Linked DNA regions of Macaca mulatta. The protein of the gene in region 1 interacts with the protein of each later gene in a pairwise test. Links are inferred from orthologs where the notes say so. Each region holds a gene or a part of one and is shown in the gene's direction. Other genes may lie near its edges. The genes, in order: MAGED1, KPNA2, SMAP2, PITX1, CA8, RBFOX2 and PRKAB2.

The links.
Region 2: the proteins of MAGED1 (region 1) and KPNA2 interact in binary tests that used the Homo sapiens proteins (3 or more experiments, as listed by UniProt). The two-hybrid records come from large-scale screens. The link is inferred for Macaca mulatta from reciprocal best matches to the Homo sapiens genes MAGED1 and KPNA2.
Region 3: the proteins of MAGED1 (region 1) and SMAP2 interact in binary tests that used the Homo sapiens proteins (3 or more experiments, as listed by UniProt). The two-hybrid records come from large-scale screens. The link is inferred for Macaca mulatta from reciprocal best matches to the Homo sapiens genes MAGED1 and SMAP2.
Region 4: the proteins of MAGED1 (region 1) and PITX1 interact in binary tests that used the Homo sapiens proteins (3 or more experiments, as listed by UniProt). The link is inferred for Macaca mulatta from reciprocal best matches to the Homo sapiens genes MAGED1 and PITX1.
Region 5: the proteins of MAGED1 (region 1) and CA8 interact in binary tests that used the Homo sapiens proteins (3 or more experiments, as listed by UniProt). The two-hybrid records come from large-scale screens. The link is inferred for Macaca mulatta from reciprocal best matches to the Homo sapiens genes MAGED1 and CA8.
Region 6: the proteins of MAGED1 (region 1) and RBFOX2 interact in binary tests that used the Homo sapiens proteins (3 or more experiments, as listed by UniProt). The two-hybrid records come from large-scale screens. The link is inferred for Macaca mulatta from reciprocal best matches to the Homo sapiens genes MAGED1 and RBFOX2.
Region 7: the proteins of MAGED1 (region 1) and PRKAB2 interact in binary tests that used the Homo sapiens proteins (3 or more experiments, as listed by UniProt). The link is inferred for Macaca mulatta from reciprocal best matches to the Homo sapiens genes MAGED1 and PRKAB2.

Annotation. Positions count from the first base shown.
Region 1 is NC_133426.1:51,816,909-51,820,408, forward strand, and holds the end of MAGED1 (melanoma-associated antigen D1), read left to right. Parts: intron 1-978; coding exon 979-1,093; intron 1,094-2,351; coding exon 2,352-2,729; 3' UTR 2,730-2,737; intron 2,738-2,943; 3' UTR 2,944-3,152; downstream 3,153-3,500. UniProt on the Homo sapiens protein: Involved in the apoptotic response after nerve growth factor (NGF) binding in neuronal cells. Inhibits cell cycle progression, and facilitates NGFR-mediated apoptosis. May act as a regulator of the function of DLX family members.
Region 2 is NC_133421.1:77,786,391-77,790,433, forward strand, and holds the start of KPNA2 (importin subunit alpha-1), read left to right. Parts: upstream 1-1,243; 5' UTR 1,244-1,347; intron 1,348-2,625; 5' UTR 2,626-2,648; coding exon 2,649-2,723; intron 2,724-2,872; coding exon 2,873-3,010; intron 3,011-4,043.
Region 3 is NC_133406.1:200,357,657-200,361,651, reverse strand, and holds the end of SMAP2 (stromal membrane-associated protein 2), read left to right. Parts: intron 1-2,162; coding exon 2,163-2,288; 3' UTR 2,289-3,495; downstream 3,496-3,995.
Region 4 is NC_133411.1:143,947,457-143,951,664, reverse strand, and holds the start of PITX1 (pituitary homeobox 1), read left to right. Parts: upstream 1-1,408; 5' UTR 1,409-2,120; coding exon 2,121-2,154; intron 2,155-2,700; coding exon 2,701-2,937; intron 2,938-4,208. UniProt on the Homo sapiens protein: Sequence-specific transcription factor that binds gene promoters and activates their transcription. May play a role in the development of anterior structures, and in particular, the brain and facies and in specifying the identity or structure of hindlimb.
Region 5 is NC_133413.1:70,909,312-70,912,811, reverse strand, and holds part of CA8 (carbonic anhydrase-related protein), read left to right. Parts: intron 1-2,325; coding exon 2,326-2,450; intron 2,451-3,500. UniProt on the Homo sapiens protein: Does not have a carbonic anhydrase catalytic activity.
Region 6 is NC_133415.1:15,502,487-15,506,522, forward strand, and holds the start of RBFOX2 (RNA binding protein fox-1 homolog 2), read left to right. Parts: upstream 1-1,236; 5' UTR 1,237-1,248; coding exon 1,249-1,434; intron 1,435-4,036. UniProt on the Homo sapiens protein: RNA-binding protein that regulates alternative splicing events by binding to 5'-UGCAUGU-3' elements. Prevents binding of U2AF2 to the 3'-splice site.
Region 7 is NC_133406.1:118,946,392-118,950,599, forward strand, and holds the start of PRKAB2 (5'-AMP-activated protein kinase subunit beta-2), read left to right. Parts: upstream 1-1,408; 5' UTR 1,409-1,544; intron 1,545-2,712; exon of another isoform or gene 2,713-2,758; intron 2,759-3,018; 5' UTR 3,019-3,041; coding exon 3,042-3,197; intron 3,198-4,208. UniProt on the Homo sapiens protein: Non-catalytic subunit of AMP-activated protein kinase (AMPK), an energy sensor protein kinase that plays a key role in regulating cellular energy metabolism.

The DNA of each region.
Region 1 (3,500 bases):
GATCTTGGCTCACTGCAGCCTCTGCCTCCTGGGTTCAAGCGATTCTCCTGCTTCAGCCTCCTGAGTAGCTGGGATTACAGGCATGCACCACCACGCCCAGCTAATTTTGTCTTCTTAGTAGAGATGGAGTTTCTGCATGTTAGACCGGTCTCGAACTCCCGACCTCAGGTGATGCTCCTGCCTCGGCCTCCAAAAGTGCTGGGATTAAGGCGTGGGCCACCGTACCCGGCGAATTCTTTTGTTTGCTTTTTTCGAGACTGAGTCTCACTCTATTGCCCATGCTGGAGTGCAGTGGCGCAATCTTGGCTCGCTTGAACTTCCACCTCCTAGGTTCAAGCAATTCTTGTGCCTCAGCCTCCTGAGTAACTGGGACTTCAGGTGCCTGCCACCATGCCCGGCTATTTTTGTATTTTTAGTAGAGATGGGACTTCACCATGTTGGCCAGGCTGGTCTCAAACTCCTGACCTCAAGCAATTCACCCATCTCTGCCTCCCAAAGTGCTGGGATTACAGGTGTGAGCCACCATGTCCAGCCAGAATTCTTCTAATTTTTCTACTTTTCTAAGTAGTTGTCTTGCAAGTGAAGCCCATCCACCATCCCCACAGTAGACATTCCCAAGGCTGGGCCAGGCTGACACTTTTGCACTACATTGTAATCATTTCAATGGACCTCTGTGGCTCACTGACAAGATTACAAAAATCTGGAGCTAGAGCTGAGGCAGAAGGAGTGAAATGAAATGTTGTCCTTTCTGTGACCCTATACAAGCGTCGCCTGCAGCTCTAAGTGAGTGCTTAGTGTTCTGGTGCAGGAATTCAAGGCTTGATGATTAAGGGGTAAATACCCTGATGGTGTTCAGGAATGAGCCCGAGGGGGAGTTGCTATTTGAAATCTGATGTTAAAAAATGTAGGATTATTTTTCATTACTGGACTACCATTCTGCCCGGGTAGGTAGACACAAAGACTGTTTTGCTCTTTCAGATACCTGGACTACAGACGAGTGCCCAACAGCAACCCCCCAGAGTATGAGTTCCTCTGGGGCCTCCGTTCCTACCATGAGACTAGCAAGATGAAAGTGCTGAGATTCATTGCAGAGGTAATGTGCCAACCAGCATTGATAGGTCAAGGGATGAAGTATCGCTGGCTGGGAAAGGTCCAGGGTAGGAATGAGATCCTAGGTATGGCACGTGGTAGGTGCTGCATTGCTGGTGGTATTTGTTGTTGTTGTTAGGTAAACTTAACATGCATTAGGTGCTAACATATGTTAATATATTAGCTAATACAATTATGAGTTTGTTTTGGTTTTTTTTTTTTTAGGTTTTTAAAGTATTTTTATTTTTTCCCAACTTTACTAAAGTATAATTGACAAAAATTGTATATATTTATGGTGTACAATGTAATTTTTAAGTATTTTGTTTTGTTTTATTTATTTATTTTCTCCTGAGATGGAGTTTTGCTGTGTTGCCCAGGCTAGAGTGCAGTGGCGCGATTTTGGCTCACTGAAACCTCTGCCTCCCGGGTTCAAGCGATTCTTGTGCCTCAGCCTCCCAAGTATCTGGGATTACAGGCACGTGCCACCACCATGCCTGGCTAAATTTTTATTTTTCTATTAGAGACAGGGTTTCGCCATGTTAGCCAGGCTGGTCTCGATCTCCTGACCTCAAGTGATCTGCCTGCCTCAGCCTCCCGAAGTGTTGGGATTACAGGCGTGAACCACTGTACCCAGCACATTCATTTATTTTTAATTGACTAATAAAAAGTATATATATTTATGGGGCACAGTATGATGTTTTGATAATACATGTCATGTACATTGCGGAATGATTACATCAAGCTAGTTAACTCTCCGTAGCTTCATATACTTGACATTTTTTTTTTGTGATGAGAACATTTAAAATGTACTCTTTTAGCAATTTTAAATAAACAACATATTATTATTAACTATAGTCATCATGCTATATGGTCAATCTCCAGAACATACTCTTCCTATCTAACTGAAATTTTGTACCTTTTAACCAATATTTCCCCATCCCTCCTGACCCCAGGCCCTGGAAACTATCATTCTACTCTCTGTTTCTATGAGTTAGACCTTTTTAGATTCCATGTATAAGTGAAGTCATGCAGTATTTGTCTTTCTGTGTCTGACTTACTTCACTTAGCATAATGTCATCCAGCATCATCCATGTTGTTGCAAATGGCAGAATTTCCTTCTTTTTAAAGGCTGAATAGTATTCCACTGTGTGTGTGTGTATCACATTTTCCTTATCCATTCATCCATTGATGGACACGTAGGTTGATTCCGTATCTTGGCTATTGTAAATAGATTTTGTTTTGTTTTCTATTCCTCATCTCAGGTTCAGAAAAGAGACCCTCGTGACTGGACTGCACAGTTCATGGAGGCTGCAGATGAGGCCTTGGATGCTCTGGATGCTGCTGCAGCTGAGGCCGAAGCCCGGGCTGAAGCAAGAACCCGCATGGGAATTGGAGATGAGGCTGTGTCTGGGCCCTGGAGCTGGGATGATATTGAGTTTGAGCTGCTGACCTGGGATGAGGAAGGAGATTTTGGAGATCCCTGGTCCAGAATTCCATTTACCTTCTGGGCCAGATACCATCAGAACGCCCGCTCCAGATTTCCTCAGACCTTTGCTGGTCCCATTATTGGTCCTGGTGGTACAGCCGGTGCCAACTTTGCTGCCAACTTTGGTGCCATTGGTTTCTTCTGGGTTGAGTGAGATGTTGGGTAGGTACATCACTTTGGATTGGGCAGTTAGGGTCTCTGGGGGATATAGGGTCCATGGGATTGTATTTATGTGCATGAGCTAGGAGTCTTAGGAAACTCATTGTAGGGAGGTGAGGAAAGTATGGGGCAGCACTCTTTGGTGTGTATATTCCTTATTATTTGACATATATCATTGATTTTTTTACTTTTTTTTCTTATGTTCACAGATATTGCTATCAATCGCAATAGTCTTTCCCCTGTGTGAGGCTGAAGCCTCAGATTCCTTCTAAACACAGCTATCTAGAGAGCCACATCGTGTTGACTGAAAGTGGCATGCAAGATAAATTTATTTGCTGTTCCTTGTCTACTGCTTTTTTTCCCCTTGTGTGCTGTCAAGTTTTGGTATCAGAAATAAACATTGAAATTGCAAAGTGAATTAGATGTGCTCTCTGCTTCTTTTTTTCCCTATATTTGGGGAGCGAGCAACATGTTTATGTGGGAGAGACAGGACCTCGGCTCTAGTTTGAAGGGGGTAGATCAGCTTTCAGCAGGTGGAAATATGGGAAGATCCAGCTACTGGATTGGGATACAAAGGCAGTATCAATGAACACGAGACCCAAGAACTTGTATAGTTTATTCAATAAATATCACTTAAGTGATTCTCATGTGACAGATATGCTGCTAGGTGTCCTGGAGTGACATTGCGAGAATTGCATAGTGAGAGAGGGTATAGGTGCTCAGACAGTTGCACTTAAGAACACAGCGGAGGTGGAACTCCAGGTGA
Region 2 (4,043 bases), on another chromosome or scaffold:
TATGAACTCTGGCTGCTATACAATGAATGAGGCTGGCATTAATGACTGCAAGAATGGACAAATTTGGTGTTTGAATTTATTTATAGTAAGAAATAAACCATGACAACTTTTCTAAAATGTAATCTTTTAGAACACAAAAAAATTGCAGAAACAAAAATGGCCCATAATCCTGATGCTCTGTTGACCATCTTTGTTTTGTTTCTTCGTTTGAGCATATGGCAAAAAATGCAAAATTCAGAAATGTGTAACGAGCATAGAATGTTACTGGAACAATTGACAAAACTTGAACACAGACTACATACTAAACAACAGCATGAAATTTCAGTTTTTCTGAATTTGACGACTGCAGTGTGGTTATGTAAGAGAATGTCTTTTCTTAGGAGATACACCGTGAAACAGAGGAAAAAGGACATGATTCTGAAACTCTCAAATGTTTCAAAAAGTAACATATTGAAATCACACATAGGTACACATGTGCATAGGTATACATATATATGTATAGAGACAGCAGTAGCAAATGTGTTAACATTTGGCAAATCTGGATAAGGATTTGCAATTCTGCTGCATTTGAAATTATTTAAAAATACAAAACTTGAGTGTTTGGAGAAACAGGAATAAGAAATATTTTGTTACTATATTTGCGGCTTCTATACAGTCTTTTACGACGCAATTGAAAAAAAAAACTAAACTAAAAAATATAACATAAATCTTCCCTCCCATAGTGGCCAGAAACCCCTGCCAAGTTCTTCGGATATCGTAACAGGAAAAAAATGCAAAGCAATATGTCTTTCTATAAAGATTACTTATTTACTAATTATCATTTTTTAATTTTCATGAAGATCAACAACAAAGTTTTTTTAAAATAATGACTTTGAGAATCATTTTGCGGTATTTGTTTAAGGCTCTCGCCCAGGAAAACGCCCAGGGACCATGCGCGCTTCAACCCAGTGGAAACACGAAAGGCCCAGGGACCGCCCCTTCGCGTTGCTTGACGGGATCTGGAGTCCTCCCGCTCCGCCCTGCCAGGCGCTCGGGAACCGCCCGTCTGCTCCCTCATCTCGCGATGCCATCCTCCTTTTTTTTTTTTTTTCCCCCCTCCCACTCGCCCCTAAGCCCTATGACTCCCTCCCCTCTCAACGTGTTTTTCAAATCCACCAATGGGCACACAGCTTGGGCTCGAACCAGCCAATCGGAATGCGGAGTCACCGGGAAATTTAAATCGCGCCGGCCGGCTGCACGAGCCACACGGTCTTTGAGCTGAGTCGAGGTGGACCCTTTGAGCGCAGCCGTCCCACAGCCGCTGATTCCCCGCATCGCCTCCCGTGGAAGCCCGGGCCCGCTTCTCAGGTACAGACTCAGGCGGCGGCTCGGCCCGAGCGCTAACGGTTTGCCCGCGGGCGGCGTTCGCCTTTGGGTGGGGGGAAGGAGGCCCCGGGTCCACGCCGAGCCTGGCTCAGCCTCCCGCGTTGTCTAGGCCTCGGGGGCGACTGGTTCATTGACCAGGCGGCTGAGTTTCGCGGGGTCTGCGGGTTTAGGGCGCCGACGCTCTTCAAACGGCAGCGGAGACCATAACGCGTCGCGGCCGGGAGAATCGGAGCGAGCCAGGCCTGAGGGCGAATGTCCCGGGAGGGCTCGTGGCGGCCCTGGCCTCGCTTCCCCCTTTCTTGTTGCATCTTCCCCGACGTAGGGGCAGGGGCAGGGGCTGGGGGTGGCAGTTGGGAGCACTGTCTCTGACACTTTGGCCCCGGGGTGGCTGTGCCACCAAGTCGTAGGCGAGCGTAATGAAAGCAAAGATAGCAAATTGTAAGGAGGGCTTTGACTTTTGTCGTCTTCTGAATGACGCACAGCTGATGTCGTCCTAATTAAGTGCATTCGCTCCTAGTCTCTGGAAATGCAAATCAAATATGCGACATGCGGCACTGCATTTTTAATGTTGACCATAATGTAATGATGAAGCAAATTTTTTTTAGTTTTCGAATCTGCACCTATTTTGGCCAAGTAAAGACAGTAAAGTAGTGCGAGCCTCCTGAGAATCTGAATTTATTGCCCTGGCACATAATTTTTAGCTGTAAGTTAACTTGGTTCCCCTGCTTTGCCTTGGATTAACTATTAGGGACTCTGGAGTATCGAGCCAGGCTGTCAGAAACGGTGGACACACGTGGCTAGTCCAAATTGAAATACGCTGTAAGCTTAAAGTACACAAAAGACTTCAAAGATAGAGTATGGAAAAAGAATGTAAAAGATGTCAGTTATTTTATATATTGAAATATATATGTTGAAATACTATTTGGATATGTTGGGTTAAGTAAAATAAATTATTGAAATTAGTTTCACTTGTTTCTTTTCGCCTTTTAAAAAGTATGGCTACTAGGAAGTTTCAATTTATATAGCTTGCATTCTATTTCTGATGGACAGCCCTCTCCAGGAAGTCTCAGCGCTTCAGAGGGAAGGGGGACAGTTCCCGTTTGGGTAAAGCTATTTCATAGTGCTGAAAGCATGATGATCCCCCCTCTAGTATACAGGTGTGGATTCAGTAGATGCTTGATAATTCAATTCTTATTTGGTACTATTATTGACAAAGGAAAATGATAAAGGAAATATTTTTTCTCCTCGCCCATCTTTTAGCTTTCTCCCTTTGTCTCATAACCATGTCCACCAATGAGAATGCTAATACACCAGCTGCCCGTCTTCACAGATTCAAGAACAAGGGAAAAGACAGTACAGTGAGTACCTTCTGTTGCTTTCCTGTGGTGGTGTTTAAATGGGAGGACATTTGGAAAGGGGTGAAAACTTAGGGATCTTTTTAAAAATACCCTCACTTAGCAACAAAAACTGATGTGATAGGTGAAACGGCATGTTATCTTTTCTCAAGGAAATGAGGCGTCGCAGAATAGAGGTCAATGTGGAGCTGAGGAAAGCTAAGAAGGATGACCAGATGCTGAAGAGGAGAAACGTAAGCTCATTTCCTGATGATGCTACTTCTCCGCTGCAGGAAAACCGCAACAACCAGGTAAAAAATGTATTTTGGTTTATGAGTTACGTGAAATCCAGAAAATCAGTAGGAACTTTTCTTAGAAATTCAAGTAAACTTAACATTTTTAGCCTTAGGTTGTAACTATCTGTGAAGATCTTTTTCTCTGTTCCCAATTAGTAATTGTCTTCTTTCCTGCCTTCCATAATCCACTGAAGCTGATTTAGGATCTTCCTTTAGCTCTGACCTTCCTTCAGACTTCCCTGCATTTCTAGCTGCTAACTGGGTACCTTGACCTGACCACTGTGTCCAGAGCCAACCAGTTTCTGGTTTATTCTTTTTTTTTTTTTTTTCCCTAGACGGGGTCTTGCTTTGTTGCTCAGGCTGGAGTGCAGTGGCACAATCTTGGCTCACAGCAACCTCTGCCTCCTGGGTTCAAGCAATTCTCCTGCCACAGCCTCCTGAGTAGCTGGGATTACGGGCACGCACCACCATGCTTGACTAGTTTTTGTATTTTTGTTTTGTTTTGTTTTTTTGAGTTTCCCTCTGTCGCCCAGGCTGGAGTACAGTGGTGTGATCTCAGCTCACTGCAAGCTCTACCTCCCAGGTTCACGCCATTCTCTTGCCTCAGCCTCCCAAGTAGCTGGGACTACAGGCACCTACCACCCTGCCCAGCTAATTTTTTTCTATTTTTAGTAGAGACGGGGTTTCATCATGTTAGCCAGGAAGGTCTCTGATCTCCTGACCTCGTGATCCACCCGCCTCGGCCTCCCAAAGTGCTGGGATCACAGGTGTGAGCCACTGCCCGGTCTGTTTTTGTATTTTTAGTAGAGGCAGAATTTCACCATGTTGGCCATGCTAGTCTTGAACTCCTGACCTCGTGATATGCCTGCCTTGGCCTCCCAAAGTGCTGGGATTACAGGCGTGAGCCACCAGGCCCTGCCCGTTTTTGGTTTATTTCTGCCTTTTTTGGTATTCTCTCTTTTTTTGTATTTGTCACCAGCTTTGTTCAGGACTTTCCTTCTGAAATATTTACGGTAGCCTCCTAAGTTATCATTTCCTCCTTTCTGTG
Region 3 (3,995 bases), on another chromosome or scaffold:
GACAGGCAAAGTAATACCAGAGAAGTGGTATGGTGCATGTGTACTGCACATGTGCATGTATATGCTATCTTTATCAGGGTTATACTTATTTATAAAAAGTATTTTTATGTTTTTGTTTCTCTGTGGTCTGGAATAATTTACGTAGTACTGGTCTTTGAAGGTTTTGTGGAATTCCTGTGTGAAGTTTGTGGTCCCTATTGCTTTCCTTTGTAGCAAATCTTTGATACATTTCTCTGTTTCTTCTATGGAAGTCAATTTTGGAAAACTGTATTTACCTAGATTTTCCATTTCACCGAGGTTTTCAAATTTATCAAAAGTTACGCCAAGCAGTCTCATTAATTTTTTTCAGAGAACCAGGATTTTGATTTATTGGTGCTACATTTTTCTGTTTTCTACCTCAATTTTTGGTGTATCTTTCCATATGCTTTCTATGGGTTTACTTTGTTATTTTCTAGTTTTTGTAGTGGAGATTTTAATTCACATATTTTCATTGTTTCGTTTTTATTTACATAAGTAATGGAATGCTGTAAGTCTGATGGGAATATGTCAGAGAGACACATGAGCCAACTTCCAATGGCTCTGACTGGCCAAATGTGAGACACTTTGAACATCAAAAAGAGTAACAATAGTAATGGATTATGACACACTGAATGGAAAAAAAAAAAAAAAAAACAACCCATGAGTCCATGGTGATATTTTTTAAAAACCAGGTGTGGAATGGAAGGAGAAAAAGCTTTCTTTACAGAAGAATGATAGTAATTGTAAAAAGAACAAAGGATTCCCACATTTGCAAAGAAATGCCCTTCAGATTATTTATTAATTATAATGAAAGAAATATAGCCACTACCTTAGCCAAGTGATCAAACATCAAATTACTGGCAATGGAACAAAGTAATACCATGTGCTTCCTGATATTTTGTACTAAGAAAGACATCGTATCTCCTCCATAGAATCTTGCCAAAAATATTTAACCTGGATCCAATTATGAGAAGATGAATCCAAATTGTGGGATATGCTACAAAATAACTGTCCTGGGTTCTTAAAAATGTCAGTGTCAGGAAGAAATGGGAGGAAGTGGTAGGGAAACTGTTCTAGATTAAAGGAAACTACAGAGATCTGGAAATGAAATGCCATGTACATTAGAATATTGTGTTAATGTTAAAATTCTGGAGTGTGTTCATGGTTTTGTGGTTCTGTTAAAGTGTTCATTCTTATGAAGTGTCTCCTGACTTAGGAGTGAAGTGTCGCGATAGCTGCAGTTTTTTTTTTTTTTTTTTAATCTGCGGCTTTTGATGCTCATCAAAAAAATGTAAGTTTTTATATAAGGAGGGAGAGAAAATATGGCAAATGTTAACAGTTGGTGAATTTAAGGAAGAAGATATATGGGTTTTATTGTACTATTCTTTCAACTTTTATGTAAGTTTGAAATTTACTTTAAAAGTTGGTAAAGAAAAAGAATTTATATAGAAAATGTACTAGGCTCAGGAAATTCAAGGCATTTTTCTCCATAAAGTATTTTTCTGCTCACTGCTAGGGGGCCAGTCTTTCCATCAAATTCATGAAGGACCCCCGCCCTATCCTGCCCGAGGCCTTATTCCACTGACTTTTCTTCCAGCTCCTTCCCTTCTCATACACCGAAGACACATTAGTCTTTTTTACCCCCTGCCTTCGTTCATTGCGAACAGTCCTGTTCCTTTTTTCCCCCTTCTGCAAATGAAAGAGGCTGCTCAAGCGCTTTCCCTGACACTGACAGTAATAGCTGTACTGAAGATGAGGCGGGAGCACTGGGGAGGGGGCTTGCCTTTCAGCTTTTAGGATTGGCCAGGCAAGTTAACAATAGGCCCCTTTTATTTACGATGAGGAACTGGAAAGGAAAAAGAGAGGAACTCATGCTGATTTTCTGTCAACTAGATCCAGATGCCAGGATGCCTTCTTTCCCTCCCTGAGCTCTAGTCTCTGTCAACATTGCACTCCCAAACAGTCGTTCATGTACATGGCCTTCAAATGATCTGACTGCGAAGGTCCAGGGTTTACTGTCCATAACAGTTTCCCTTTGTCTCATTCTCCCCATCCTGGCAGAGAAAGGGACTCCCACTCTGCCTTTTGCACTAATTGGCAGAATGCCCACGGCCTGGTCTGAAAGTCTCCTCTCTCCCTTTCAGATGACCCAGCAGATGGCTGGGATGAACTTCTATGGAGCCAATGGCATGATGAACTATGGACAGTCAATGAGCGGCGGAAGTGGACAGGCAGCAAATCAGACTCTCAGTCCTCAGATGTGGAAATAAAAACAAAACACCTGTATGGCTGCCATTCTCTTCAGCCCTCGCTCTCCCCTTTCCACAGCCTCCACCCCTGACCCCCATCCTCTTTTCCTACCTCTCTGTTTGGTTTAGAAATTGCTCAATAAGTCATTTGGGGTTTGGCATCCTGCCCAGCCACTTCCCAAACATGAAGACCTCTCTGTTGCTTTATGTTGTACATGCCCCGTAGCCATCCCAACGTCCTCCCCAGTCCTCTCCTGGCACCAGCACCTTAGAGGTTGTTGGCAGAAGGCACTTAAACTGTGGGAGAAACGTGCACACCTTTGAGTACCTTCCCTCAAGGTTAAAGCTCCTGTCAGACTCTCAGAAGGGTCTGTAGGTGTTGTATATTAGGCAAACGGGAAAGCTTAGAGGTCCTTCTATATATGTTAATAAGCTGTTTCTAAGTGTTTAAATTTGAAGGGGAAGCATCATGTTCTCATGATTTATGGGAATGAAGCAAGTACTGAAATCAAACTAAATACTCCCTGGGCCCTGGGTCAGTTTGACCCTAGCCCCGGGGTGAGGCAAGCCCCCTCCTATGAGGATGAGCAAAAATTCTACTCTCTTCACCCTGAGTTGCTTTCCGGATCTGGGGCTTCAGGACTTGCTGCTTCAGTCAGCCTTTATTAGCACCAAAGACTTTATGAAGATCCCACACACAGACACACATCCCTTCCTGCCTCCCACCTGCCTTCAGTAGGATCTGGCTCCGTGGCTGGAGGACAAACCCCTAGAGTGGGAATGCAGAGCTTAACGTGTACTGCTTGTGTGTGCACGTGAGAGTGTGTGTGTGTGTGTGTGTGTATGTGTGTTCCGCCTCCCATCCTCTCCCCATCTGCTCTGGGTATTTTTGTTTTTGTTTAGTTTTAGGTTTACAACAGAGAGGAGTTAATTTATCAGCAGCCTAAAACTGTTGTGTTTTTCTTACAGTTTAAAAAATGCCATGTCATTGATAACTCCCTTTCTCCCCTCCCTTCTCCCAGTCTGCTGATGACTCTTTCATGCCTGTGTATCCGGGTGCTCTGTCTCCCCACTGTTCCCAGGTGTACGAGGCAGAGGCCGGGACAGCTTTCCTCTCAGTCATTGTTCACCCCACTTGAAAATTCAGACAAGAAAACTTTGCTTAAAAGATTTCATGTGTGGGAACTACAGTTCCTGGCTGCCTTTCTCCTGTGTATGTGTAAATTCCTTAATAAATATTGCAGGGAAGGACTGTTTGCTTGGCCATTACTGTGCGTCACTCTTGGAGGAGGGTGCGTTACACTCAGGTTTTCTGTTTTCCAAAGGCAATTCTTTCACTTACTGTATTTTGGAAAATTCTGTACTTCTCATACCCAAGGGCGAGGCCCAGGCTCCAGCAGTCAGAAAGGGGGCCTCTCTCCACTGGCGTCTAGAGCTGTGAACTGAGGGAACTCCGAAGATCGGCACCTGCTAGAGTCAGAACATCAGAGTGGCATGCCTTTCCCCCACAGATGGAGAAACTGAGACACGGAGAAAGGACATGGTTGGCTGATGTCCACTAGGGAACCCTGGGCAGAGCCGGCAGTAGCCTCGCAAGTGTTTGGATTTCCAGCCCCTTGTTCTTTCCCTATGCCATGGCAATTAAGTAGTGAGTTGAAATTCCTCTCTGCCGAGAGAGCAGTAGCTTTAGCTGGTAAAGGTAACTCACCCCTCTCTGAGCTATCGGAA
Region 4 (4,208 bases), on another chromosome or scaffold:
TAACAGTGAGGATACAGCCCCTCAGACTAAGCAGTGAGTGCTGCTCACAAAACAGTTCCCACTGGGGGATGGCCCAAAGAGTCACTTTGGTCCCTCTGGGAAGTGAGGGGGCTATGAGTCCCAACCTCCTCTGGATGCCCACAGACAGATCATTCATTTCTAAGTCTCTGCCCAGAGACGCACGGTGCTTCCCACCTTGGCCTGACATGTGGCGGGGTTAGAACACACCTCCTATCCCATGCCAGCCGGCGTTCATGCCAAGTAGCACACATATGCCTAAACTCAGCGCTTCCATAGTGCAGTGAGTACATGTGTGTGCACAGCATCTCCGCATGGATGTATAGGATGTGCGTGTGCGCGCGTGCCCCCATGCTGTCTGCACTCAGGCTGTTCTATGGGATAAGACAGCTAAAAGGAGAATGGTGTGTGAAGGGACACTCCCCAGCATGCTGCAGCACCTGAATATCTCCTTGAAAGGAGGGATCTTCTACTGGAGACTCCAAGAAACGTGGTAAAGGTGGGGCTGAGGGCAAATGCTGGGCAACTGTGCTTCCCCATGTTCCTCTGCCCATGACCAAGACTCATTTCATGGAGGGAGATCTCAGCTTGGAAGAAGGCAGAAGTCACTGAGCCTCCCCAACCCAAACTCCTGGGAAGTGTCATCCCTCTGGCCTCAGACCCTGCATTCTATGGTCACAGACGCACAGTGAGAAAGGGCCAGGCCCTAAGGAGCTGTGCTGTCTCTCCATGGCCCAGAGTGGGGGATGGGGGCAGGGGTGCTTTGGACTAACATGGAGGGAATGGAAGGCAGGTCTGGTTCCAGCCTGTGTGCCTGCCCCTGGCCCCAGCCGCCCTCACAAGGAGCTCAGCTGACCGTGGGTGTCTCCCTGTGATGCGAAGGGGTAAGGCGAGGACTCAAAGGCAGAACCTGCAGAGTGCCCCAGACGCCGACACCTGCGCAGTCAGTGCCACCCACCCAGGAGTTGAGGAGGCACTGGGTTTTGGGGTGAGGACACTGGACACCTCCCTGCTTCTTTCCCAGACCGACAATCTCCCTGGCGCTGCTCCCTTGGGTTGCTGTGTCTGGTGGAGCTGGTCACAGGTGAGGGGCAGAGGGCAGTCTGGGGTCCGCCTATGGCCAGAGAAGCAGGTCAGGGCGGCGCCTTGCCGCCCCAGCTGTGGCCTGTTTGCTCAAGACGCTGAGGTCTTGGGGCCAGGTAACAATTGTTGAGCAAAATCCTTCGACAAACTTCACCTACGTGCAAGGACTTGAGGAGGGAATCACTCTTGGGAGTGGGAGAGTAATGTCTTTGCCTGTGCCCAGTGAAGGCCCATTGGAGCTGCAACTCAGCTACCACTGTGTGGGAGAGAAGCTGGAAGACTGAGGGCTTCCTGGGCTGCTGGCCCAGGGTTGGGAGACAGCAGTCACCTGGCCTACCAGGCCTGTGCCTGAAGCCCTGGGAAGCCAGGATGCAGGCCCCAGGCTGGGACAAAGCTACCCTGAAGGAGGGCAAAGGCTGCCAAGGCCAACCCCATGCCTGCCAAGGCCAGGCCTGGCCCATTTGGCCAAAGTGTAAGGTGTAAAACAAGGGGAGAGGTAGAAGAGGCTGTGGGGCCTGGCTGGGATTCTGGGGTCTTCCCTCTGCATTCTCCAAACGCCTAGAGCCAGCAGAAACGTTTCGTCTGATTAGAAGCCATCATTTCTATCCCAATCCCGGAAAATTGACTGCGGTGCAGAGAGGGAGGCCTGAGAAGCAGCCTTAGGGGAGAAGGTCCAAGCTAATTAGGAGGCAGCATCCGGGGGCCCATTAGAGCGCAGGCTGCTGTCACTCAGCCGGGCTGAGTTCCCGGGAGAAGAGGCTGGAGAAGGAGGGGCAGGCGGCCCCTCGACGAGGACACCGCTGGGAGCTGCCGGAACGGGCCCCGGGCTCTGCCCCCGCCCCGGCGCTGGCTCGAAGGCGCCCGCTCCGTGCGATCCTGCTCGGCAAACATTCACTCATCCTGGGCTGTTCTCGCCAGCGCTGGGGACTTCGAGGCGGCCGAGACGGGAGTTGATTCTAGGCGAAACAAGTCATTTGGGGCCTGAGGTGGGCACGAGCCGCCCGGGACTTGCAGCCCAGATGCGTTTCTTTTGTGAGGCCGAGGGAGAACTCGGTGTGTCACCGGGGAAGGAGGGAGAGGCGCGGCGAGGCCGCGGGGGGCGGGGAGGCGGCGGGAAGGTGGCTGCGGAGGGGGAGGGCGCGGGCGAGGCAGGGAGGGAGGGAGGGCGGCAGAGAGGGCGCGGCGGCGCGGGCGGCTTGGGGCTGGATTCCGCCCGCGCTCCCTCGCTCGCTCGCTCCCTCCCCAGCCCCCTCCCACCCAGGCCCACCCCACCCAGCACCCCTGGCGCAGGGACTGCTGGAACCTGGCTGTGCGCGCTGTCGCTTTAAGACAGACTCTGCCGGCGCCGTCCGGAGCCTTAGAAACCGGCCCCGGATCGCGAGTCGGAGCCGGAGCCGGGGCCGGCCCGGCTGCTGAGGCCCGAGCGGCAGAAGCGCAGCACAGAGCGCTAAGCCAGGCGCCCGGTCGCGAGAAGCTGCCGCCGCCTCTGCCCGCCCGGCCCCGCAGCCCCGGGCGGTCCATGGGGCGGGTACGGCGTCGCTGCGGGCGCCGGCAGCCCTGGAGGGCAGCTGCTTAGGCGCTGCGCTCTTGTCCCCGCAGGTCGCAGCCAGGGCGGCGGGGCGCGCCCAGCCCCGGCCCCTGGAGCGCCCGCCGCGGTCCCCACCTCCATGGACGCCTTCAAGGGGGGCATGAGCCTGGAGCGGCTACCGGAGGGGCTCCGGCCGCCGCCGCCGCCACCCCATGACATGGGGCCCGCCTTCCACCTGGCCCGGCCCGCCGACCACCGCGAGCAGCTCGAGAACTCCGCCAGCGAGTCGTCTGACACCGAGCTGCCAGGTAAGCGCCGTTCCCCTCGCGGCGCGCACGGAGCCTACTTGGGCGCGGGGCACGGGGAGCTGGGAGCAGGGCCTGACGCCCGCGCCGTGCAACCAAGCTCCCTCTCCGCCCCAGAAGCGTCAGGAGCTTTCTTTTTCCCGTTCTCGACCTGATGGTGAACGCGGAAACTTAACGCATACGCGAAGGCACTTCCACGCGGTCCCCACGCGCCAACAGACTGGCAGATGCATGAGCCTACAGCTAGAGGGTTGGACTGACAGCCCCTCTTGATCAGGAGTAAATAGAACGGGGGAAAATTGGATTTGCGCAACTGGGCACTAAGAAGCGACTCGGACGAAGGGAGAGGAGCAGACCGAGAAAGGAATGGGGGTGACGGGCGAGAGAACGCCCTCAGAGAGACAGAGAGAGAGGCTAACACCGTGACAGTAGGCGACAGAATGAAAGAGAGAGGCCAAAGAGAAGGGGCGGGCGGGAAGGGTAAACGGGGAGAGGGGGTCATCAAGTAGAAGGAAGACACAGAAGACGGTGAGGGCGAGCGGGCCAAGAGGCGCGGCCGGACTCCCAGCAAGGCCAGCCCGAACCCCGATCGAGGGATCCGGCCCACGTGTGCAGCCGAAGCCCGGAGCTGCCCGGCCCTGGCCCCCGCCCCGGCTCCGGCGCGTCTCCCTCCGCGCTGCCTTTTTGTACGAGCTGGAGCTTTTTTCCAGCAGCGAACTGGGCCCGGGGGTGGCCGGCGCGGGCAGTAGGGTAGCGAATCCGCTGCCCAGCACAGCCGCCTGGGTCCCCGAGGGGCTCAGAGCTCCCCGGCATGGGCGCCTCTTCTGCTCGTTTCTTCTGTTCATTTCTTAATACACAGCTGAGTGTTTCTTTACACTTTCTTAATCTGTTTGTTTCTCTTTTGCATCCCTAAGTGATTTTTCTGAGAGGTTCTGTTTGCTTGGTTAAAACACAATCAACGCTGAACTATACTTTTGTTTTCAAAAGTTTTAAGTGCGGTCTTTGGTTGGTTTTATTTTTAAAACCTAGAGAGATATATAATCATAGATTGATTTTTTGAACCAAATCTATGAGGATGAATTAACAATTTTAACTTTATCTTTCGATTTTGAAATAATTAATATACTAAGTGTAGGTCTCTGGAATTTAAAATATCTACATGCAACATTATTCTTCCGGAGATTTTAAAAAGTCAATCCAAAATGGCGCGTTTCTCCGGAATTTTCTCAAAATCCATTTACAGTGGTGTTATTTGGGGAATTTAAATTATCTAA
Region 5 (3,500 bases), on another chromosome or scaffold:
GTAACAGAACAGTTTTAGAAATACCATGTGCCTTTGTGTGTGTGTGTGTGTGTATGTGTGTGTGTGTGTGTTCTGAGTGTATGTGATAAAGGGGTTTTGGGGAAGGAGTTTTAAAAATTGTCTTTCCCATGTCACATGTGCTTCATTTCATGACGCTCCTCTTTCTTCTTCCTTAGCCATGTGGAGCTGAGCCTTTTCTAGGACAGTTTTATCGCTTTGTTTTAGAAGTGGTGTTATAGAGCTCACCCGCTGAGGCCTTGGGCCCCACTGTTGCTGGGGGTGGCGAGGGGTGTATTTTCTCGTTCTCTTTTTCCTTTTTGGTGTGGGAGGTGGGGTACACAGTGGGTAGACTCCTAGTCTCAGTCCTGGTTTTTCTTAAGACCAAATTTGGACAGCCAAGAGAAAAGCATGAGTTGTGAGGTTATTTAGAAAACATTTCATACATTCTTAAATCCACAGAATGGATGTTTATTGGAGAGGAAGGTGAAGTGAGCTTGCACTGTGGTTCTGAGTATCTACAAACCTTTCTGATCCATGTATTACAAGTTTTTAGATTATTCTGGGAAATAGGATAAAGTGCAGTTCTCCAAGGAGCAACTTCAGTTTATAAATCTAGGCTTAGATAAGTCATTATTTTTTAGTTCATGCTCACAGATACTGACATTTGGGTTTCCCTATCCCTGCCTCACCCCTGGAATGTAGGTCAGAAGATTCGAGCTCCAGGTCCTGTCCTGGGGCCTGCTAGGAGGCTGACTGTGGCAGGTCACACTTAGCCCCTCTCATCCCACTTTTCTGCCCTGTCTGTGGGGTTGATGATAACACTATCCCCTTGGATTTGTTGTGTGACGTGTCAGACCAAGCATGAGGACAAACACTAAAATCTAAAATCATGCATGACACTGTGATCCTAAAGGCCATGAATCTCACTTCCCTTCCCCTTGATGTGAAGTGTATCCACTCAAAAAATTAAAGTTAGTTCTTGCTCTGGATGTTGCTTGTCTTTGTTGTTTGAGCTGTTAGAAAGCTTGGGAGCAGATTTGTGGGGTACCTTTATCAAGGACTCCATGACCTCCATTGTGTCTGATAGCCTCATTTCTCCATCTATTTTCAGCCTCTTTCTTTGCTTCCCCTTGTTCTTTTTCCAAATTTATGCTGTCTGACTGTATTGTATGTACCTTGACATAAGCAGCCTTAAATCCTTTTTGGAACAAGTCTTTAGATGAAGAACCAACCAAACAAGTAAATATTGTTGCACCAATTTGCTTTCTTCTTTGAGTTTTAGGATAAGGATGAATGACAGAACTCTTCCTCAAAAGAGGTGTGGAATCTGTTATGTCCTCCTCAAAGGCAACCCAAATGTGAAGGATGATCTGTTTCAAAAAGTCTACTTCTAGGAAAGGGAAGGTGTTGAATTTTGTTAGCTAAATAACCTAAAATTCTTAGCTGATACTATTCAGAATTGGGAATTGCTAGAGGAAAAATGCCCTGAGTTAAACAACTTTTATTTGTATTGAAATTGACCATTTGTTTGTAGGAAACTTTATTTCAAGTTTGTATGTATGCTGTCAGGGAATTTTTAACTAAAGAATTTTATTGTTTTGAGACAGGTTCTCATGCAAATGTATTTTTCATTATCCTTTAGTGTGCCCTTGTTGGGGACAAAGGTCTTGATCATATCCAACAATGAGAAAAAGACATGATCTTGTGGGACTGATGTTAATATTTTGAGTATTGTTAATATTTTATTGCAGTTTTATTTTGTGTCATTTGTGGTAATGAATGTCCATCAGCTATTGAAGTGCAATTTCATTATTGATTGACTTAATGCTAATCAATCCTCTTCATGGATAGTTTTGTTAGTCCACACCACAATTCTCTAAATTGGAAGCCTCCTAGTACAAGTGGATGATCTGCAAATGTAGTTTAATTTATTTAGACATCTACAGAATATTATTGGTCAGTCTGAGAGTTAAACCATATTTTTTGTCTCTTGATCAGTGCTAAGCTTAAATCTCTAAGAGAGGAATTTGTTTTCCTTGTCTACTTCTAGACTGAAAACACATAGGAAATTAAAATATACATATCATTATGAGTTTTTCAGAGGTTTTGAACTTCTACTATGTCTGAATGGCCAGGACAAGAATTTCAGCCAAGCCTAGATAGTTTAAATTCACCTCACAGTTGTGGTAAATTTCTCATTTTGACTTTGTGAATTTAATCTGTAGAACCCATGAGAGCATTTTGGTGAAAAAAAAAAGTCTCTAATGTTTATAATGCTGAGGTAAATGTGTGATGTAATTCAGTAACATATATTTTCTTTTTCAGTTCTTTCGGGAGGACCATTGCCTCAAGGGCATGAATTTGAACTGTATGAAGTGAGATTTCACTGGGGAAGAGAAAACCAGCGTGGTTCTGAGCACACGGTTAATTTCAAAGCTTTTCCCATGGAGGTAAGAGTAACAAATCATCTTGTAAAAATCTTGTTTTCTGAATACAGTATTCAGCGATTTACTGAAAATGATTTAGTTTAAAAGTAGATGCATAGCTCTTGCATTTTATCAGTTTATACTAAAATTTTAAAAATGCTTAATGCAATAGAAGCCTAGGGCAGCACATGAAGCTTCCTTCCCATCTACTCTTGTGGCTTGGCATGTGCCATGAGCATATGGCCAGAAAGGCAATCTACAGTATTAAATTTGACCCTAGTGTTACTATTCTTGTAAAAATTCTGCCTCTGCAAATTCAGTAGGTCACTTTTATGGATGCTATGAATGGGTGACGAGCTGAAGACAAACAACCATTGGAGAAACTGCAACAGTAATGAAAAGTCTAGGTTAGCTAGTTTAAAATTGGTGGGTTGCTTTTATTCACCCCAAGCCACTGGGGGAGGGAGGGAGAAAGAGAGATTTTTCGAGAGTGATTCTTTTGTCCAAAGCATTCTTCCCCGACTTACATTCTTAGTTAACTCCTGCTCTTTCTTTGATAGCCAGTTGAAATCTTATGTCTTCTGTGGGACTTTTCTCTAGTTTCTTCTCTAGGCAGAATTCCTCTGTCTCTCTGTGCTCCCTATATGCTTGATAGGGCACTGCCACGGCGCTGGCCCCATGGGTTGTACCATTTAGTCTTCATAGCGTCTTTCTCGCTGCCTGTGAGCTCCTGAGGAACGGAGCTCCCTCTCACCCCACTTTTACTCCCATCATTTGCCCACTGCCAGGCACAGTGGAGACAGACAGTCCACACTGGTGAAAGTGAGGGCATGTTGGATTCAGTCAGGTCTTGATGATATTTCTAGAAGGAACCTCAGTTTACCCCAGAAAATAGCCCTTTAGTGTCATGTAAGAGTATGTTTTGGGGGCCACTGGTCTTCCAGTCTTTTCTCTGACATTCCCAACTGTGTATGTGCTTAATATTAAATATAAAATTGCTCATGACCGGATACGATATCCAGTACCACTTCAGAGGCTGGAAATCATGGCTGTATAATTTTACGTCAGTGATAC
Region 6 (4,036 bases), on another chromosome or scaffold:
TCTGGATCTGCCACTTTTTTGCTGCAGGATTTAACTAAGGTTCAGTTTCATCATCAATGAAATGGAGATCATGGTATCTACCTATATTACCAGTTTGAAATGGGTCTGTGGATGCATTGTGCAAACCCTAAAACTCTTACAAACATCGGATATTAGTACTAACTTCATTAGGAATGTGAGTTATGTCAGAGTAAAAGCTCTCAGAGCTGGGGTGAACTACAGACGGGTGGCTTCATTCCTCGACCTTCCAATTCGAGATCTTTTTCCTTCTGCGGGAGGGGAAGCAGGCAAATAGCCTGCCTCTCACAGAGTGCCCATTCCCTCCCCGGGAACCAAGGTGCTCAGGCGGGTAAACTCAGGACACAACACTGTACAACTAGTACCACAGGCAGGAGCCACTCCCTGGCCCTCGGGTCTCTCAAGCCCCGCCTGCTCCAAGCTACGGCCCCGCCCCAAAAGGAGACTGACCCCGCCCCCTCTGCGCTGGCCGGCACTCCTGCCGCGCGGAGCCTCCAGGACAGTCCCAGGCCCGTGCCGGAGATTCCCGAGCTTCCCCGATCGCTTCCCAGCCTCCCTCGGGCAGCTAGCGAGGAGGCGACGGAGATTGCCGAGAAGGGCTGGCCCCGCCCCTCCGCAGGCCGCCACCGCCCCCCTAGCCATAGCCTCCCGCGCGGGCTGGAGTCCTACATCCCGGTCCCTCCCTCCCTCTTTCTCTCTCCCCGCCTTCCCGGTGCTGCCACAGTGGCGGGTCGGAGGATCCCGGCCAGTCAGCTCGTTCCTGCCTCGCGCCCCTCCTCCCCCCAAATAAACAGCCCTCCCTACGCCTTGGGAGCCCGGACCGCCCCCTTCCTCCCTCGGCCGGCGTGTTGTGAGGGAGAGTGTGAGCCAGCGCGGCCGGCGGGCGAGCTCCGGGAGTGCGAGAGGCGGGGCAGCGCGGCGGGCCGGGCCGGGTGTCGCGTGTGCGTGCGGGGGTGCGAGCGAGTGCCCGTCGCGACCCGCCAGTGGCCCCGCGCCGACAACCCGGCGGGCGGGCGGGCGAGCGAGCGAGCGAGCGGCCAGGCGAGGAGCTCCGGGCGCGAGCCGCGGAGGGGCGCGGAGTCCGCGCGCTCGCGCGCACGCACGCACGCACGCACGCGGGGGGCGGGGGCAGGCGCGCGCCCGCCTGTCGCGACAGTCGGGGCCGAGGCCCAGGGGGAGGTGGCCTGTCGCGGGTCGCCCGGCTCCCGGAGGCGAGGGGGGCGCGGGCGGATGGCGGAGGGCGCCCAGCCGCAGCAGCCGCCTCAGCTCGGGCCCGGCGCCGCTGCCCGGGGCATGAAGCGGGAGTCGGAGCTGGAGCTGCCGGTGCCCGGAGCGGGAGGAGACGGAGCCGATCCCGGCCTGAGCAAGCGGCCGCGCACTGAGGAGGCGGCGGCCGACGGTGGCGGCGGGATGCAGGTGACCGCGCGGGACGGGGCGCCCAGTTATTGCGGGGGAGAGGGGGAGTGGCGTGAGGGGCGACCCCGGGCTCCCCGGCTTGGAAAGAGGGAGGGCCTCCGGGGGTCCTGGGTTGGAGGTGGGATGGGGGGACCAGTCGGGGCCTGGTTGGAAGGTGGGACGAGCTCGGGCTAGGAACGAAGGTTGCAGGACTGATCCTGGTGTGCCTGAGAGGGTCCTGATTCCTGAGGGGCGAGGAGGCACGACGAGTGGATAGGTTTTGGGGGGAAATCGAACGTGGTTGAGATGGATTCCATTTCTTCAAATCCTTCCTTAGTGCCCTGGGGTGGAGTGGAAGCCGGGAAATCCTGGGTTCTCTGGACGGAGTCGAGGAAGAGGGGATCTCGTGGGAAACCTCCCAAGAAGAGGGAGTACCTTTTGGCAGCCCTGGGCACCCGCTGGGATGGGGAAGAGAAGTGGCGTTTCAAGGAGAGGAGTGAAAAGCAAGAAAACTCCGAGAGAGAGCCCCGAGGGGATGTGGCTGAGATTGTGGGTTAAAACACACAGAGTGTGTGAGAAGTACAGGGAGTTTGGTAATGTTGTGGGGACACGGTGGTGCTCAGTCTCATTAACTTTGTGGAGCATACTAATGAGTCTGAAGGGAGACACCAGACATGTCCCTCCTGTTCTTTGCCAATTGCATTCTACATCTCCAGGACACAAAATAGCTCTTTAATGTCCTGGGCTATTAAAAAAAAAATTTTATAGGGCTATTATAAGACTGGATTCTCAATTCTGGATTCAAAGATAAAAGTGGTTAATTTGGGTAGGGAATGGGAAAGGTATTGATGATGTCAGTTGACTTCATAGTTTTGAGGAAGACCTTGAAACCTTTGTAGGTTTTAGGGTTTGGTCTCTGCCCAGAAAATACTGCTATGAAATGGTGAGTCTCACCTATCAGCAATTGTGCAGACATGTGCCTAGTTCTCTCAGAGTCATAGGATGTTAGAGGGATGAGGAAGACTAGACATCTTTTCCAGGGGTTCTTAACCTGGACAGACTAGGAAGATTCTTACTTATAAAAGGTGATGTGCACTTTTTGGTGGCAGAGAGTCAATAATTTTCATCTTTGTTTTTTTTGGAGGGGATTTGAGTCCCAGCTTGTTTTAACCACCTTATTTTATAGATGGGGAATCAGAAGTCCAGAGAAGATGAGTGACTTGGGTAAGGCCACCCAGTTAGCTGATAGTAAAACTAGAACCAGAAGCCTGGTCTTCTAATTCCTATTCCTGTGCTGTCTCCATTACACCACTCTTGGAAATCTCTGCAGTGCTAAAAGACTTCCTGTGCTCTGCTCCCTGCTTTTCAAGCCTCTGCCTGACTTCCTGTGTTAGGGACGGAGCTGTACTTAAGCCTAGCGTATTTGTTGTGTGCTTCTTGGTCTCCTTTGCAGAGTTTACCCTGTTACTTGTGTTGATTTAGGTAAAGTGACCCTCTTGGTGTTTATTTTTGAATTCTTTTGTTTTGTTTGCCTGCTTTTATTTTCCATTAGAACTCTGTCAGGTAGAGGGATTGTGAGAAGTAAAAGCTCAGGGCCATGGAAAAAAAGACAGGAATATGGGAGACTGCAGGTGAGGTGAGCTAATATTGGATGGTAAGGAGGGAAGACTGGATATAGGTGCTGGTGAGCAGGTTCTACTTTGTGTGTGTGTGTGTGTGTGTGTGTGTGTATGTCTGTATGTATTCATTTATCATTTCTGTCAATCATAGTTAATAGTGAGACCCCCATCCCTTTCCCTCATTTACTCCTGGGGCCTGTTATCTGCTGGTTGCCTTCAAATTGGCTAAAGATAGTGATATTCGGAAATGGAGCAATATGTAGGGACTTCACAGGGCTGTGCAGAGGAAAGAGTGGTTAGGTCCTTGGGGGTAGCTGAGAACTATCCCTCTGAGAATCCTTTTTTCACTCTGTGTATTTGTGGGTGTTCTTTGTTTATTTTCTTTCTATACATTTTTTTTTTTTTTTTTTTTTTTGCCCAGGTTGGAGTGCAATGGCACGATCTCGGCTCACTGCAACCTCCACCTCCACCTCTGGGTTCAGGCGATTCTCCTGCCTCTGCTTTCTGAGTAGATGGGATTACAGGCATGTGCCACCATGCCCAGCTAATTTTTCGTATTTTTAGTAGAGGGGGGTTTTCACCAGGTTGGCCAGGCTGTTCTCGAACTCCTGACCTCAGGTGGTCCACCCACCTCAGCCTCCCAAAATGTTGGGATTACAGGCGTGAGCCACCACACCCAGCCTTCTGTGCATTCTCGTTGTTGTAGGTCCATTCCCCTATGTCATACAGGTATTCAGATCATCACTGATTTAGGTCCTGCCTTCAACTAGCTGAGTGCCTGCAGAAATCTTTCATTTTGGGGCCTCTGTTTTCCTTAGCTATAAAATAAAGTATGTGTACAAGATGATTTCCCTCGTGATCTGCCCGCCTCGGCCTCCCAAAGTGCTGGGATTACAGGTGTGAGCCACCACGCCCGGCCGGTTTCTAAGTTACCTTCTAAAAGATATAAGTCCAGTTCACTGTGCTTAAGGTGCATGCAATCTATGTGGGGAAACAAATGGGTG
Region 7 (4,208 bases), on another chromosome or scaffold:
ATCAGGACAACCCCCACCAATTACTTTTCCTATTAGCCCCTTCTTTTCCTTCCCTTTAGAAAGAAGAGCATTGGGGCCGGGCGCGGTGGCTCACGCCTGTAATCCCAGCACTTTGGGAGGCCGAGGCGGGCGGATCACAAGGTCAGGAGATCGAGACCACGGTGAAACCCCGTCTCTACTAAAAATACAAAAAATTAGCCGGGCGCGGTTGTGGGCGCCTGTAGTCCCAGCTACTCGGGAGGCTGAGGCAGGAGAATGGCGTGAACCCGGGAGGCGGAGCTTACAGTGAGCCGAGATCGCGCCACTGCACTCCAGCCTGGGCTGGGCGACAGAGGGAGACTCCGTCTCAAAAAAAAAAAAAAAAAAAGAAAGAAGAGCATTGGGGTGACAGCAATAAATCTAAAGGGAACAATTATACTGATACTGGTTAAGAAGATCTTGTATCTTTACCTACTTATTCCTGAATCTAAGAAAAAAAAAGGAATTTGGGACTAAGGAGAATTCATTCTTCCTACAGTGTCATATTACATTTGTTCTGTGTCTAAAACATGCAATATTCAAAATTGACTTTTATTATTAACTGTTGAGTAACTTACAAATGTTGTTAGAGCAGAGCAGGGCAGAACAGTGTCATGGATAATCTTCCAAAGGAGATAATACAAAAGTCATTTCCATTTAGCTGTGTAAAAACAGTTTATTTCTCTCCTTCAGTTTTCCATTGGCTAACATAGTTAGTTTGTTTCTGCTAAGCTGATTTCACTACTGCAAGGAAATACATACCAAGGACATATTATTTGGCATGGTGAAACCACCTTGGGGTCAGAAAACTGAATACTACACAAGTCAAGGTTTAATGTATCACACCTTGAAGGGCCTTGCTTCAGTGTCCTATGGTAAGGAATTGAGGGGTGGAGGGAGAAAGGTAGGGATAACCAAAAAGAATGTACTCAGACAGTAAAGATTTCAGAGGGGTGAGCAAGAAGTTGCAGTAAAATCGTACCTTTTTTTTTTCCTTCCTGTAAACTGTCTTCGGTTTATGAGCCAAAGAATGAGTTTATAAGGGGCAGAGCAAAGAATGGGGGAGTAGTGAATTTGTTGTACTTAAGTGGGCTGTCAACTTCATAATATAAAAATGAACTTTTCAACAAATAGAGCTGCTCACTCAGAAAGGGTGGCCTATGTAACTTGGGGTTCTCCATCATTGGCCGTGTTTAAGCCTAAGTGGCATATCTTGATAGAAATGGATTACAGTAAACAGTATTCCTGTATCCTTCATTCCGCAAATACAAAAGCCTGCTCTGTACAAGGTACATGCAGAATATGAAAAGGTATCAAATCTGGATCTGCTCTCTGCCAGCTGTCAAAGCATTGCTTCTCACACACGTTAATGTGATCTTGTTAAAATGCAGATTCTGAACCCTGGGGATGGGGCCTGATTCTACATTTCTAACAGGCTCCCAGGTGATGCCAACGCTGCTGGTCTGTGTAACACAGATAAACGTTTCTAGTAGAGAAGGCGACATGCAAATACTTCTAATACAAAGGTAAGTACCTTAGGGATTCCACTAATTTTCATAAAAAACCTGGATCCCTCCCAACCCTACGACTGTCTTTGCCTTTTTTATACCTTTAGGGTTCCTTCTGATGTTTTCGTTGTCGCCATCTTCCTTGAATTTTATTTCTTCTGAGGTTTCTCACTGCATATGCTGTTTCTTAGACTAGGAAAGCCTTTTCGTTATTCTCCTAAGACTAACATTTTACTAATTTGTCAAGGTCTAGCTCCTAAATACGCCATCTTGAATTTTCCCTGCGACCCCAGTCGGGCTGACAGCTCCTTCCTTGTCGCTCCCTATTGAGCAGGTTTTTCTTGTGGGGGGGGGGCGGGGAGGCGGAGGGACGGAGTGTCGCTCGGTCGCCAGGCTGGAGTGCAGTGGCGCGATCTCGGCTCACTGCAACCTCCACCTCCCGGGTTCAAGCTATTCTCCTGCCTCATCCTCCCCAGTAGCTGAGACTTCCGGCGCGCGCCACCACGCCCAGCTAATTTTTGTACTTTTAGTAGAGACCAGGTTTCAACTTGTTGGCCAGGATGGTCTTGATCTCCTGATCTCGTGATCCGCTCGCCTAGGCCTCCCAAAGTGCCGGGATTACAGGCGTGAGCCACCGCGCCCGGCCAGAACAGTTTTAACCTCCAGCAATGGCCATTGCTTCCTTCTGCCTGCAGTTGGAAGTCAGTTTCAGTTTTCTTATTCCCTGTAAGGAACCCCCCTCTCCCGTCGCCTAACACACAGATGCTGCCCAGAAAACGTGCTGGCGCACCTGAGGCGGGGTAGAAAGCCGCGTCGCTTCTCCCGGCACCGAGCGCCGGAGCCCAGGGAGGCGGCCTCCGAGTGTCCTGTGGGAACGTCCCTTCCGCCGGGTAGTCTCAGAGGCCCAGCGCTCCAATTATCCCGGGTGCAGTCTCCCCAGGCGGCACAAGCCCTGCCTGGCGCCCCCTCCTGGCGCTGGAGGCTGCGTGCGACTGCCCACCATCGAGGCGGCGGCGGCTAGAGAGGCCGGCGGGCCCGGGACGCCGAGGCTGCAGGCCGCAGGGAACGCGCACGGGGCCGACTCCGCGCCGCCGGCCTTGTAGCCATTTTAGGAGGAATCGCTGATCGCCAGCGAGGGGTGCGGCTTCAATTTCAATAACTTTATTGGTGGCCTGATCTGCAGAACAGTCATCACTTCAGTGGTCCCTGGAGGAGGGAGCGCATCGCCCGAGGTGACTGGCGTGGGGGCGCCCCTGGCAGTGAGCGCGGGGACGCGGGGGAGTCCCGATAGCGGGTTTCCTGACTAGGGGCAGCGAGGGCACCGGGGTATTTGCAGGCATTCCCGCAGGCCAGGAGGGAGAAGGCTCCGGGGCTTGGCCTCCCTGGGGCGGGGAAATCCCTTGCCCCGTCCCAAGGCGTATGGGCGGGGCCGGGGGGCGCCCCTGACGCGGCTACTGAGGTGTTCCCAGCCCGGTGTGGTTCTCCGCGGTAGGTGGTCCCCGACGAGCTGCAGCCATGGGAAACACCACCAGCGACCGGGTGTCCGGGGAGCGCCACGGTGCCAAGGCTGCACGCTCCGAGGGCGCAGGCGGTCATGCCCCGGGGAAGGAGCACAAGATCATGGTGGGCAGTACGGACGACCCCAGCGTGTTCAGCCTCCCCGACTCCAAGGTAAGCGTCCCACGCCCGCAGTTGGTGGCAGTACTGCAGCGGGTTGATTTCCGGGCTCCTCTTCCCTTTCTTGGTTCTTTTCTGCCGCGCCGAACCGGGCTATGGTTTTTTGAATTAAAAGGATTTTTCGGGGACAGAGGTGTTGGATGGTAATCCCTCTTGCAGTGCCGCCTCAAAATAGGATAAAGAGGCGGAGTTCTTGTTTTCCTGGTGTTCTGACTAATCTGTTGGCCACATTTTTAGGATGGGGACAATAGACATCCCCGATCCTTGGTTCTTCCTAACATGCACGAGTGGCTCTCCTCTATAGCGTTGCTGAATTTGTAGTTTGTTAGCCCTGGTGGACAACTTCAGAGGGTAGGTTGCACGAGTTGCTGACCATAGGTGGTAGTTTCTCACCTTTGCCCTGAGGTGGCTACATGAAATTCTTTTTCTGAAAATTTCTATGTATCAGTATCATTTTTGCCCTTCTAGCAGCTCTGCACTTGTGATCTTCTTCCCTTTTGGCACGGCTGTAAGCAGCAACTACTTGCTTATTGAATACTTTCCCCTAGTCTTGGGGATCAATTAAGGACATCATTTGGTTGACTGCTTAATTTTTGTCCCATACTTTATAGTTGTGGTGGCTGAGGCTGTGCCTCTTTCACGCCCCGCTGCTGCTCCGCAGGTGGAAGAGCCAATGATTCCACGACTTGTTTACTCTCCAGTAGTACTTCAAAATGTTGCGTGGCTAAAAAGCGACAATCCATAGCTGCCTTGAAGACCTTGCTCTCAATTCCAAGGACTTTCAGGAAGAGCCAACTTGTTTTTTCACTCTGTAAGAAAGGACAGATGGAGCTGATAGCAGCGATTACCATTCTAATGTTTCTAATCGCTTTTAGAGCTGTCAGCATGAAATACATGTAGTTTCTCCAGGTAGACTGACTGGATGAGATAGAAAAATGGAGGGCTTGAGGAGATTGGGGTGTGTTTGATGTTTCCTATCATTTCGTCACTTCCCAGGGAACTGGG